Linked DNA regions of Drosophila melanogaster. The protein of the gene in region 1 interacts with the protein of each later gene in a pairwise test. Each region holds a gene or a part of one and is shown in the gene's direction. Other genes may lie near its edges.

Region 1 (5,207 bases):
AGGTTCTATGCTCAAAAATACTGTGTTTCGGCAGTTGTAAAGAAAGCCAAGTAAATATAGCAATCGAATTTGTTAGTAGTATTATAGAAGGGGTTTCAATTGGTTGACTAATTTAATTAGTTATTTGGGGACACAGAATAAAAAGAACGTACAATTTCTATGAAAATACAATTTGTTTATAGCTTCAATGTGACACTTTCTGTGGTTATAGCATTGTATATAAAAGTATTATCGATTGGCTTGTATTGCTTCGTAATGATCTTGATCACCTCCTGGGCAGCGCAGCCACCTGAAAGGAATTAGCAGAATATAGTATCGGTCAACGCATAAACCAAATGGAATATTTACCAATAAAAGCAGACACTGCATGCAACTCAGCTCCGCCATATCGACAAATCTCGTGCAGAACATCATCGCTGATGGTGGCGTGCATTCCCAAATCGCTAAGCATCTTGGCGGCAATGCTCTTCAGACGTCCAATGTCCTGCTCAACGATGCACTCGCCGGGAATGTTGCCACACTCGCTGAGGAAGCGCTCGTAGGCGCGCAGCGCAAAGTTGTATGCCGTGAGGTTGCCCTGCAGCTCGTTGTCCTCAACTGGAAGGCAAGGAAAGGTAAGTCATTTAAGGTTGTTCCAAAATAGATAGATAGATCTTTACCCAGTGGTAGCAGGCGACTGCTCTTCTCGTACTCCTCTGCAATGCGTGTACCCCTTATGACCGCCAGTCCGGCTGCTTCTTTGCAAATGAGACGCACACTTCTCTCATCAATGCTGTCGGCAGGCAAAGCCAACTGCTTAAGGTACTCCTGGCACTTGTGATACACCTGGTCGGCGTCTTGCAGCGCCTGTTGGCGGTAGATGTGCTGCAGGGCGATATAGGAGTCCGTATTGGCAGTCATGTCCGGCAGAACGCCAGGCAGAGGGAGATGGCCCTCATTCTCATGTATCACAAAGTGCTTTAGGGCCTTGGCCATGATCCAAAAGACGTTGCTCTGTAAAAAAAAAAGAAAAACAAATGAAAGTAAAGTATACGTATAAATTCAGATTATATGGGCAACCTTCTTGTTTAACTGTTCGCAGGCATCATCTTCGAATATGGCTTTCAGGCTTTTGGGAACCTGTCCCGCTCCAAAGGCTGTATTGACCGCCTTGATGGCCTCTTCATAGTTTTCCTCATCCGCCTTCATCTCCTCTCTAATGGTCTCCTTCAACTGATTCTTCTCTTTGTAATTTCGAGGCGTTTGAGTCCCATCCGCTTGTTGTTTTTGCCACACATTAAGGTATTTGTGAAGAACCAGCAACCAGGGCACCTTACTGGTCACCTCGGTGCCGTCGAGATGCTCCCGCAAAGCATCGAATGGATGCTCCAGACGCAGATCAAACTGTCGATTATCCGGATGCGCCTCCACGATGCAGTGTTCCCGTATTTGCAAGCGTATTGTGCCCAGCATGCCAAGCGATCGGCAGTAGATTAATGGAACGTTAAGCTCCCATAACCGTTCGGCCAGGAGAAGCAAAGTCTGCTCATTGAGATTGGAGGCAATCACTAAATCGAAGCTGTCGAAGAAGTTCGGTCTGTTGGCTAATAAAAAGTCGGCACTCTCGTCGACATAATCGCCATTTACGTCGGGATTGAGTTCCTGGAGAAGTTGCATGCAAGCCAATGCTTTAGATTTGCCCAGATAGCTGGAATCGAGGAAGAAACTACGGAAAAAGTGACTTTATAATGGTGGTCAGGGAATGTGTGATGGTCTACCGACTTGTTGCCCAGATCCTCCTCCTTGACGGTGCTGCCATCGGCCACAGTGAAGCCTCCGATACCGGGTAGCACCAGTCCCTTGGCAGTTTCACAGCCGACGGCCGTAACATTCACCAAACATACTGTGGCTGCCTCCAATAGCGTCTGTCCATGCTCTCCCCACAGCCTAAATAGGTGTCATCAGTGCTATGCTTCCGAATTTATCAATTAAAACGCTCCTCACCTGATTTGTCTGTCGTATTTCTTGCTTTTATCCGAAAGCTCTGGCGATTTGGGGGCTGGCGAGGACATTTCACTAGATTTTTGTGCAATAATAAGCCGGTTGCAAATAATCCAGTACTGTAAAGCGCCGGCAGCCAATACTTCTGACACAATTTGTTTATTGGGTGGAGTGTTGGAAAAAACACGTTGGTAATTTTAACTGTTGCTTATTTAAAACATTTATTGACTATTACGTATTACATTTCATTTAATTTTATTGCATTAAACTACATCTACGTACAAGCAATCAGTCTTTACAAATAAAATGTATAAACAGTTGAGAAATTAAAAAGTGAAAGTCTGAGCAAACCAAATAAAGTGTCTGGTTGACAGTTTTTGAATAGCATTCCATGGCTATGGTTTTGGGTGAGTTTTAATATTGATTTTCAACATGCAATTAATTTAATTAAATAATACCGCTAACTGTTTGTTGGCTGGGCAGTGTAGGCAGCGCATTTTGCAACACTGGGAGGGCTAATGAACAGCTGTTTTATCGTGTAATTTCACAACAAAACAACGCATACATCGCTGTGTTTTCTTCTGCATTTCCGTCCGATTGCGATCCAATTTGAACTAAATAAATATCAGTATTATCACGGAGATAATGCCGGCCAAAAAGAGAACTGCCGCGTCGACCAGCAAAAATAGCGATTCGCCATTAAGTCCGCACACAGACGATCCAGCGTACAAAGAAAAAAGAAAGAAAAACAATGAGGTAAGTTTAAGAGTTTTGGATGTAAACAGAGAGCAAAGATTGGGAAACATGTTGCTGTGGCGCCGTGGCCCCCAGAAGTCCCCAAAAATAGATGCCCACTATTGATTTATTACTATTCTCGGAACAGGCTGTTCAGCGCACACGCGAAAAGACCAAGAAATCGGCCGAGGAACGTAAGAAACGCATCGATGATTTGAGGAAGCAAAACGATGCTCTTAAGGTTCAGATCGAGACGAGTGAAAAACATATATCTACGCTTAGAGATCTGATCATTCAGGGTGAGAAAACGGAGGACGGCCATCGAATCATCCAGGAGATTCTCGCTGAACCAGATCCCGATCCCAAGGACAATGACTAACGAGGAGCTTCTCCTGATTTACCTTCTTATATTTTCATACTTTTAAGCCATTTCCCATGGTTGTTAACCATGTGTATCATCTTAGTTTTTCGATTAAAATGGTGCAATTGCTCGAATTCTATTACAAAGACAAGCACTCATGCAGACGAGAACAGTGTTTGTTAAAATCCTACATAAATGGTTTTCATTATTGGTGAGTTTTTATCATTTCTCACCAAATACTTGTTTTTGTTGTACTTTTCTTTTACTTTTGTTTATATTGTAACACTTAATCACTGTATCCATGTTGCACTGAATCTAAATTTTAAAATTATCTATATTTAGTAATAGTGATTTCTATTATTTTCGACATGATTCATACAGCTAAAATCATGCGAGTCTTGAATCAAATAAAGTGTCTATTATGATTTTACCCATATCAGTGTTATTTTATACCCAATACTTCAGCTGTTTACAACTACTACTACTATTATTATTTCCTTGAAAGTTGATGAACTCATTAATCAGAAATACAACCCAGATTCCATCATATACATATGTTCTACGTTTAAGTAGAACTTCCGGCAAATTAGATACTAACCGTCGTAAACGTCCAATTTCTCCATGTGTAGGCTAAAGACCTCGTCCATTTTCCGAGATATGAACATATGAACTAAAACTATAGCTATTGAGAAAGTGTCGTTGTGCCGATAGGTTTTTGGTTTCGGGTGTCCCGTTAGGTCTTGCTCTCTTTGCTTTTGTTGTGGGCGCTCCTTCCGTCTTCTTCTTTCAAACACTCACAAAAACATTGATTTACTGCACTTTTCGCACATTCATTTGATGCACAACTCGACGGCGATTTGATTTGGCGGGTGGTTGGTTTCGTGTCGAAATGGAAGTTGGATTGTGGGGCTTTTTTCGCGTTCAATAAATTGCCGTCTTCCGCTAATTAGCACCACCCGCACACTGATTCCGATTCAATATCAATTTGAAGTTGCTCACATGGCACGAGGCGAAATAAACTGAAATGTGTTTTCAGTTTTTACAGCGTTGCTTTGTTGTATTTGGCTGGTCGGCAGCTGAACGTGTATTTCCTTATTTTTTATTTATAATTTCACGTAACTTTATTTTGGTTGTTTTGGCCGCTCTCGCTCGCTCTTTTACTGCACGGCCTTGCTCTCGCTTTTTTCTCTCGCGCAGTGTTGCAAAGTTTTCAGCGAGGAACAGCTGATTCAGTATTTCGTTAAAAACCGTTAAAAAGCGTGGTTGTTTTGAAATTGTTGAAATTCTTGAAAATTTTTTTTTATCTTGTTTATGTTCTTATATTAAAATCCTGGTCAGACTTATATTTTAAATATTAAGTTAATCATATTGTCTATGAAATTTGCAAAAATTGGTATATAATTCCAAGCATTTGAAAAAACTTCACAGTGACACTTACATTCACCCCAAAAAAAGTAAAAAAAAAATAGTCAGGATTACAAAAGTTATATTTCCAGATAATGGTACAAAATTTTTTCGATTTATAATGCTGTTGCCATTAAAGAACCCAAAGACCGTTGAAAGCGAGGTGAACCCGAATGTGACGCTACTGAAGCGCCAGATCGCCGAGGATGGAACCAAAACACAGGCACTGTTACTTCAAGCGTTCCGCTTCGAGTTGCCTAGTGACGCCAATGCATCTCCACTCCTCCAGGATCAGTTCCAGCCACAGTCAGTCAGCAGGAGGCATTAAGCCCGCTTTGGCATCACTAGATCCACCTAAAACACCCAATAGCATCGAGAAAACAAAGAAATCCGGGGGATTTCTCTCTTTTTTGTTTGGCAAACGAGACAGGCGGGCGAGGAATCAGAGTGAGACAAATGGAAACCATATCTCATTGGAGGATCATGATGTCAGGAAGCTTATACGTCTCTATAGCAAGCATAATAGCCTTTACAACCGCCATAATCGCTACTATGGTAACAAAGATATCGACGATGACTGCTACAACAGAATGGTGCGCTCATTTCCGGGAAGAAGCGTCTCGGAACTGAGATCCTGTCTGGAGGAGCTAAGGACGCTCTTTGAGCGGGAATACACCATTATCGAACGTGCTCGAAGGAAGTGTGGAGAGATAATGAGTCCTTCAAT
Region 2 (7,054 bases), on another chromosome or scaffold:
TTCGTTGGCCAGTTGAGCGTTATCACGCTCGAAACGCGTGAACAAGCGGGAAACAACATTTCATAAATCTTCAGGGCCCCGGTGTTCGGTTGTGGTCTCGAGTACGAGTCTTCAACTCACCTGTAGGCCAGATTCATGCACTTGAAGAGTTTGGTGAGCGAGGTCTCTATCTCCAGGTGGGAGGTCACCATGCTCATGCTGCTCTCGTCGCCCTCCTGGTCCATGGCGCTGAAGTGGGCCACTGTTTGGGGTACGTAAAGCTGCACGTCACGACATGTGTTGGTTGGCTCGCCCGGCTTGCCCAGACCGGGGTCCTCAGGGTCTAGCATCTTCACCTCGCCGTCATCCTCTAGGTCGTCCTGCGCCTCCTCTGCCTCGAAGTGCGAGACCATAAACTGGCCGGAGTGGATAGACTCCCGCTCCGCCTTGAGCAGGTCTGCCGTAGCCTCGGCGGACCCTGACGCCGAAGCACCTACTCCCGTTTCGTACTGCAATTGCTGGAAGTTTTGGCACAGAGACTGTTGCAGATAAGGCTGCTGGTGCAGCTGAGGCAGCTGGTGCTGCTGGTGGGGAAACATTTGGCTTGTGCGTTGGTATCCCTCGTGTTTATTCAGCATCATTTTCAACAGGTGCCAGGGGATGCCTATGCAAATAGTTTACTGTTGAGCCAAAATTTTGGCGGTTGCAGATTATGTCGATATGGCGAGGGCACATTTAATGGTTTTTTAATGTCTCTCGCGTAGTAAAGGCTTTTAAAAGCTGGTGCTGACCCTTTTTTAATTTGGATGGGGTTTTTCCATCATTTCAAAATATGTAAACGTTCGCAGACTATAAAAAAAAATATGTTTTGTCTTGCCTCGTGGTTAACACATTTATTAATTCTCTCATCTAGTGTTTGTCCTTGTCATTCTATTAACTAAATTACTAAAATAAGCGATTATTTGATAGAGACATAGCACGGTTTTAAGATTTTGATTTGTTTACAATGCCCGACACCTTCAGCTTTTCGTCATCGACACCTGTCCAATTGTTGCTTTTTCCGGAGCGAAGCTTCTCTAATGGCAAACACGCCCCGCTTTTGCCGTTATATGCGTCACACAGCACAATAACAACAATTTTCGCACACACACACACACACACAATCGCGGCGGGGTTGGCTGGGGATACGGACGTCAGAACGAGACGTCAGTGGCCGCTTGTAGCTCCTTGAACAGATAGTGAAGCCCCAACTACTCGTAAACACACGCGGATCTGATGGAAGGCCAACAAGGCGGGCAGAACCAGCGCAGAACGATCGGTTTCATTCCACAAACAGAACTGATCGGAGAACGAAGCTGCGAAACGCACATAACCTGTGCGCCGCACACAACACAACAATGAACAGCTGACGCGAAATCTCTCTCTCTCCCTACCTCGCTAGCGTTGCTTATCAGCTAGGAAAACGTACATACATATGTATATGTATGTATGTACGTGTTCTTCTATATGCGCAGATGTCAGGCAGCAATGTTGTCCCCCTCTCCACTATTACTATATGGAGCTCAGTCGATTTGACTCCTGGCATTCGGCCTTGCCATCCAGAGTATGCACTCCACAAGCAGTTCTGTGTTTGCACTTTTGACCTCTGGCTCAGCGCTGCCTTTGCATTTTGCCTTTTTCCGTTCCCACTCATATACACGCGCATGCACGCGCACCACAATTTCGGTACAACTGCAACTGCCCCCTATAGCAGAAACACGGGCAGTTAGCAGGCACGACGGACTACCAATACCACGCACACACGCGCAACACAAAGCTTCTACGTAGTTTAATCACAATATAGCACACATTAACCTATTGCGGGTAGCGAGCCCTCACCATCCCATCAGGGTTGTCAAGCATTTGGTGGCTCTGATAAACAGCACCCTCTTCCTAAAAATGGCTGAAAGCTGCGAGCCGAAAAACGCAAGAATGAGCATAATCACCCCAAACGTAAAGATTGGGAAGGGCAGCATACGAGGTCATATGTTTCCTGCTCCGAAATTGCAATACAATGAATTTAGGACGGCTATTTCCCGTAATTAGTTTCCAGTTTTATGGAATTGCTATTATATCTTTTTCCGACAGCACCTTGAAACCGCATCAATAAAAAGTTAATGCGTTGAGACTAATAGGAAAAACTAGAATATATACATATATTATACTCAAATGTAATGTGTTTTTTAAACATTGTTGTGCTTAAGTAATTAGGAAAAATTATGTAAAATGGATATTTTCCCTTTATGTTCACTATATTGTTTAAGTTAGAGAATAGAATACCCAGAATAAAATTAGTGATCACACATCAAAAAACTATCGATAAACATTGAATTAGTTCCGGTTAAAATTTAATAATAAGTATTCAAACTGCACACCTTGTTACAAAGTAGTGTAACTGCCTAATTCTTTATCAGCAGACTAGAGGATTTCGCACTCCCATGTTCTTTTGCTTAAATACCTTTCTCGGGCTTATATTAGACATTATACTTTCAGAGAATTTTTTCATTTGTACTGTTAGAAGGTTCTTAATGAAATTGCTGTTCAGTTCAAAATTTTTATATAGTCATTTAATAATACTTTACGAATGATTTTGTGCGCTTTAGATTTGTGAGAAAAAGGGGTGGGATTATTTAGTAGAAAGTAGCAAGGCATTTCCCGATCTGGTAACACTGATTCCAACACTCATTACCGTTCCAAATGAAACGCAAAAAGGTTCAATTGTTATTTTCTCTCACGATTTCGGCATTTATATTAACCTAAAGATGGCTCTATAGTTTGCGCGCAAGCAAAAACAAGCAGCACCTAGGTGCCCAAACACAACAAAATGGAAACGTATAAAAATCAAAAGTGAGTATACACCAAGCTAAATTCTCGCTAATTTCGCAATTTATCACGCACACTGCCGCACTTGGCGTTCTACTCATTCATTGTTGCTGCACGTGTGTTGGTGGCATTGCCTTGTATGGATTTTCAATTGACCGGGCGAACGTGGCAAATCAAAACTCAGTGGGGCATGCCACCTGGTAAAGGTAAAGAAATTGGCTGACGCAATCGCCGACTGGAGTTGAGTAATGTGCGTTGCAAGTCGCCTGCACGTGCGAAAATGAGATGACTCACCACAGTAAGGACTACCCCAAGCGGACACAGCCCAGGACAGAGCTGTTTAAACCGGCTGCGCGATTGCAGCTCTACCCTTGCATTCTATATTTACCTAAAATGTTAAAACATAATTACTATATTACTAAGCTAGAGGGGAGAAAGAAGTTTTCAAAAAGAAAATTAAAATCAAAATTTGCGTGCTTAATCTCAACTTTTTTGGTGGTGGACACGGCAATATTGACTCTTGGTAATAAAATGTTAAAAATACATTTATCTTTCATAGTTTTCAATGAATGTAGTCTACCCTTAGATTAATTTGAATATAAGAGGTACAGTAAAATGATTAAAAGTGTTTTTAAAAGGGTAGCGACTATTCATTATCACTATGACTCGTGATAAGTCATTAAACAGCTGTGGGCTGAACAGCGAACCAATTAATCATAATTAATTCGTTTCTTTAATTCTCAGCGCCATCATGGCATTTTCACAACAACAAAACACACCGCGAAAACAACCATTCTCATTCTTCGGACCGGATTTCATACTCTCAAAACAAAACATATCTTTGACCCCTGATTTGAACTCTGGATATGGACGCGACATTTCACCAAACCATGGAGAGCTTGCAGTTGCCCAAGGAGCTGTACTGGGACCTCAAGATGGAGCCACAATCCCCAACATCGGTTTTGGGCTCCGATCTGTTTCCGCTCACTGACTCAAACGATACGGAGTGGCTGTATGACGATAACTTTGCAAATGGTTTGTGGTGCCTAAAAGTTTTTTTGAAAGGATTTTTAAGGATTTTAATTTAAGGCATTACTCTTATTGGCGATGATGAAGCCTTGACCCTGGAAGAGGTAGCTTCTCTCCAGTTGCTTAGTGATGAGGAGATGGTTGTGGAGATCTTTGACCTGAAAGATGAAGGTAGGTATATTTTAGTGTGCTTACTTTTTTGTACATAATAATAATGTAAAATAATAAATGTTCTTGTAACTGTAGCTGAGCGCAAAATGTAGATAAACCCATTTGCGAGGAGGTCTTAAACCCATAAGAACGACCTCTTAGAGTTCTTATTAAAGCACCCAAATGTTTGCTAGTCTTACATTTTTCAAAGTCCAAAATAACTTTATTTATAACTTGAAGCTCATAATATTAAAGCAAAGACCGTTACTATGATTACTATGATAAGATAATTGGTAGTTATGCCTGATACTCGTAGATCAATGGGAAACTAGGCTCATTGAAATCTAATAAATAAAAGTAAGCTTTTCCGACTCTATTCAATTACTAGCCGAGTCGATTTGGCCATGTCCGAGTGATAATCAAAATCTCAGGAACAACAAGAGCTAGAAAGTTGATATTAAGCAAGCATACTCACGACCAATTATTTGAAAAAGGGATTACATTTCTATTGATATTCCAAAAATATTTGAGAACCTTAAATTGTCCGGATCTTTATATTAGAAGTTTTTAATAAATTGAGTTTTCAATTAGATACAAATATCTTAAATAAATACACCTATGGCAAATCAGTAAAAATGAAATATTTAGATATTTGCAGGAGCTTTGAACGTCTGCAAAATTCCCGCAAAAAAGATCTTTATATAAATATTAAAACTCAACTTTTGTTGTATAGAGCTCTTTCTTAATAATTAGTGTAGATCAAGTGGATTTCATTGTCTGAGTCATTAGGGTCTCGCACATCGCATTTGAACCTAAAATTCCGACAGGTAAAGTTGAGGAACCGGTTTCAAGTTTGCTTTGTTTTCGTTAGCGTATGTTTCTGGTATTTTGGCCCTCTTTAGCTTGAGCATGAGCGTGTTTTTGTATTATGGTTTTCACCGTGCATTTTATTATTGTTTATCAACGGAGCGCCAAGCAAGCGCTGTAATGGCCAATTTCCAGGCCACAACAAAGACTCAGATCAAGCGAGAGCAATGAAATCAGTTTTTGATCGGTTTTTTGCGTACTTGATCACGCGTTAAGCGAGTGATCGGCTGGACTCTCTCTTCTCTCTGTAGCAATCTCTCTCGACTCATTGCTGACGTTCGGGTAATACATTAAGAATTCAATAGATAACAGCTGGGTTGTATGATTTTAAAGGTAGGAACTCGATCCATTCTCTGGTGGTTATGACTCTGCCCCTTTTGAAAGCTTAATCTTATAGTGTATGTTTTGTTAGTGAAATATATTAAGTATCTGCGATCAATGAACCATTTGACATTATGACCATCATAATTTTGGTATGTATTTTTCGGTCGATCAGGAAGCTTCTTTGTTTGAAATGTAAATTTTTACGGATGACGTGCCCCCTGTTTTGAGACTGTCACTAAGGCTCATTCAGGTAGATTTTTATAAATACCTTTTAAATAAAAGGAGATGAAGTTATATTGGTTATTTCAAGATGCTGGGAGATTACTACTATTAACATCTCAAGCATGTATATTGTACATATATGCATATACGAACGATTCTGCTAATACTTTAATAATTTTAGTATATCATTGTACATAGTTTGTGTAATGCATATGGAAAGTGGAGTTTCAATTTTACTGAATTTTTCTCAGTAATATAATCTTTATTCCAACTAAAATTGAGAGCAACCTGCACAGAGACTTGATTGTTGTCAAGGGTGGAAAGTTACTGACTGGTCAGGTGCACACTGCAAGCTGTTGATAATACTGTATAGAAAACCTGTGTAATTTAGAAATGCAATTTTTGAAGAACTAAAAGGGCTGAGCAATGCTGTGGTAAAATATTGATTTTGACATAAAGTAAACGAAAGTTAAACGGAAAAATATTCAGAAACCAGATTCCAAATTCCCAGCTATTTTCATTTTTGTTCAGCTACAGATCAATAAAACAAAACACCTAAATTTGCACCACTGTGCAGAGTCCGTTGGCGCAGATTGTGACTGTCCGCTTGTCTCAGCTGATAGCATCTCGGGCTCGAAATAAACCAACAGATTGATCTTAATGCAGGGCGCTCTCTGAGCTTCGCTGCCTTCCCCAGTGGTGCTCGCTCGCTCTTGCCCGCTAGTTAGCCGAGCAAAAACCATGCGCGGTTTCCAGTCGGTACTCAGTACAATTCGCTACTCAGACGCGAGCGCTCGAATTGAATCTCGGCTTTAACTTTGATTGCCGCCCCGCATTTCACACGTCTTGAACATATACGTCTTTACTCACCAACACAAAGAAAACGGCTTAAAATAAAACAATACAATAACAAATAAGAAGAGAGGCAGTAACCACACAAGCACAGGTCTTCGCGTTTTATAAACGCTAAAAAGCCAATCGAAAATAAAAATATTATTAAAAATGTGTTAAATAATTTATATGAAGGAAATCTGGTGTATCATTTAAAATAAAGTGCAGAATCTTTGCATTGAGCATTAAAGCGGATACCGCTTTCCCACTTTGTGAAGTTGGCTGGCAGCGAAGGCCATTCGCACCTCTAACTTAAGCCACAGGGGAAAACAAAACGGCTAGATTCCACTTGAGGTGATCATCGATTGGAAACTATATGTAGCCGAACCTCGGAAAATCTGCAGATTCACGGGACAATCGCGACCACCTGAAAGTTCGAGTGCGGGCTCCAAGGACTTTGTTAGCATGATACCACACTGTGGATACCGTTACATGTGGAACCGTGAAATTGTGATAAACTCGCAAAAGTTGGTTAAACGACGCTAAGCAGGAACTTCAGATTTTCAACCACGCCGACCACTTTGCGGCAGCAGTTGAATCCTACGGACAGAAATCCAGCAACCGAAGGACAGACGCACAATAAAAACCAATCACTCAAATCCCTTCATGCAATTTAAAACTTTTAATACTTTTCATATACGTTTTACCACGTTTTTACCGTTTTTACCACGTACCGTTTTTGTTTTTTATTTAATAAGAAAATGTGGTGAACTTATACCAGCCTAACCTA

What was found. The genes of interacting proteins can lie anywhere in the genome.
Region 2: the proteins of Irbp18 (region 1) and crc interact in a two-hybrid assay, tested with the Drosophila melanogaster proteins (2 studies listed by BioGRID, with this or other methods).

What each region holds. Positions count from the first base shown.
Region 1 is NT_037436.4:11,095,529-11,100,735, reverse strand, and holds Irbp18 (inverted repeat binding protein 18 kDa), read left to right. Parts: upstream 1-2,549; 5' UTR 2,550-2,594; coding exon of another isoform or gene 2,595-2,625; coding exon 2,626-2,736; intron 2,737-2,863; coding exon 2,864-3,094; 3' UTR 3,095-3,290; downstream 3,291-5,207. Other genes in the region: Elo68beta (elongase 68beta), read left to right, coding at 1-54; APP-BP1 (beta-Amyloid precursor protein binding protein 1), read right to left, coding at 177-289, 349-597, 660-993, 1,060-1,705, 1,762-1,926, 1,984-2,051; CG33947 (uncharacterized protein), read right to left, coding at 2,595-2,644, 3,675-3,723; CG46439 (uncharacterized protein), read left to right, coding at 4,687-5,207.
Region 2 is NT_033779.5:21,308,168-21,315,221, forward strand, and holds the start of crc (cryptocephal), read left to right. Parts: upstream 1-2,698; 5' UTR 2,699-2,865; intron 2,866-3,025; exon of another isoform or gene 3,026-3,364; intron 3,365-3,585; 5' UTR 3,586-3,707; coding exon 3,708-3,876; intron 3,877-3,930; coding exon 3,931-4,041; intron 4,042-6,192; exon of another isoform or gene 6,193-6,729; coding exon of another isoform or gene 6,730-6,810; exon of another isoform or gene 6,811-7,054. Other genes in the region: mondo, read right to left, coding at 121-620; CG46314 (uncharacterized protein), read left to right, coding at 6,730-6,810.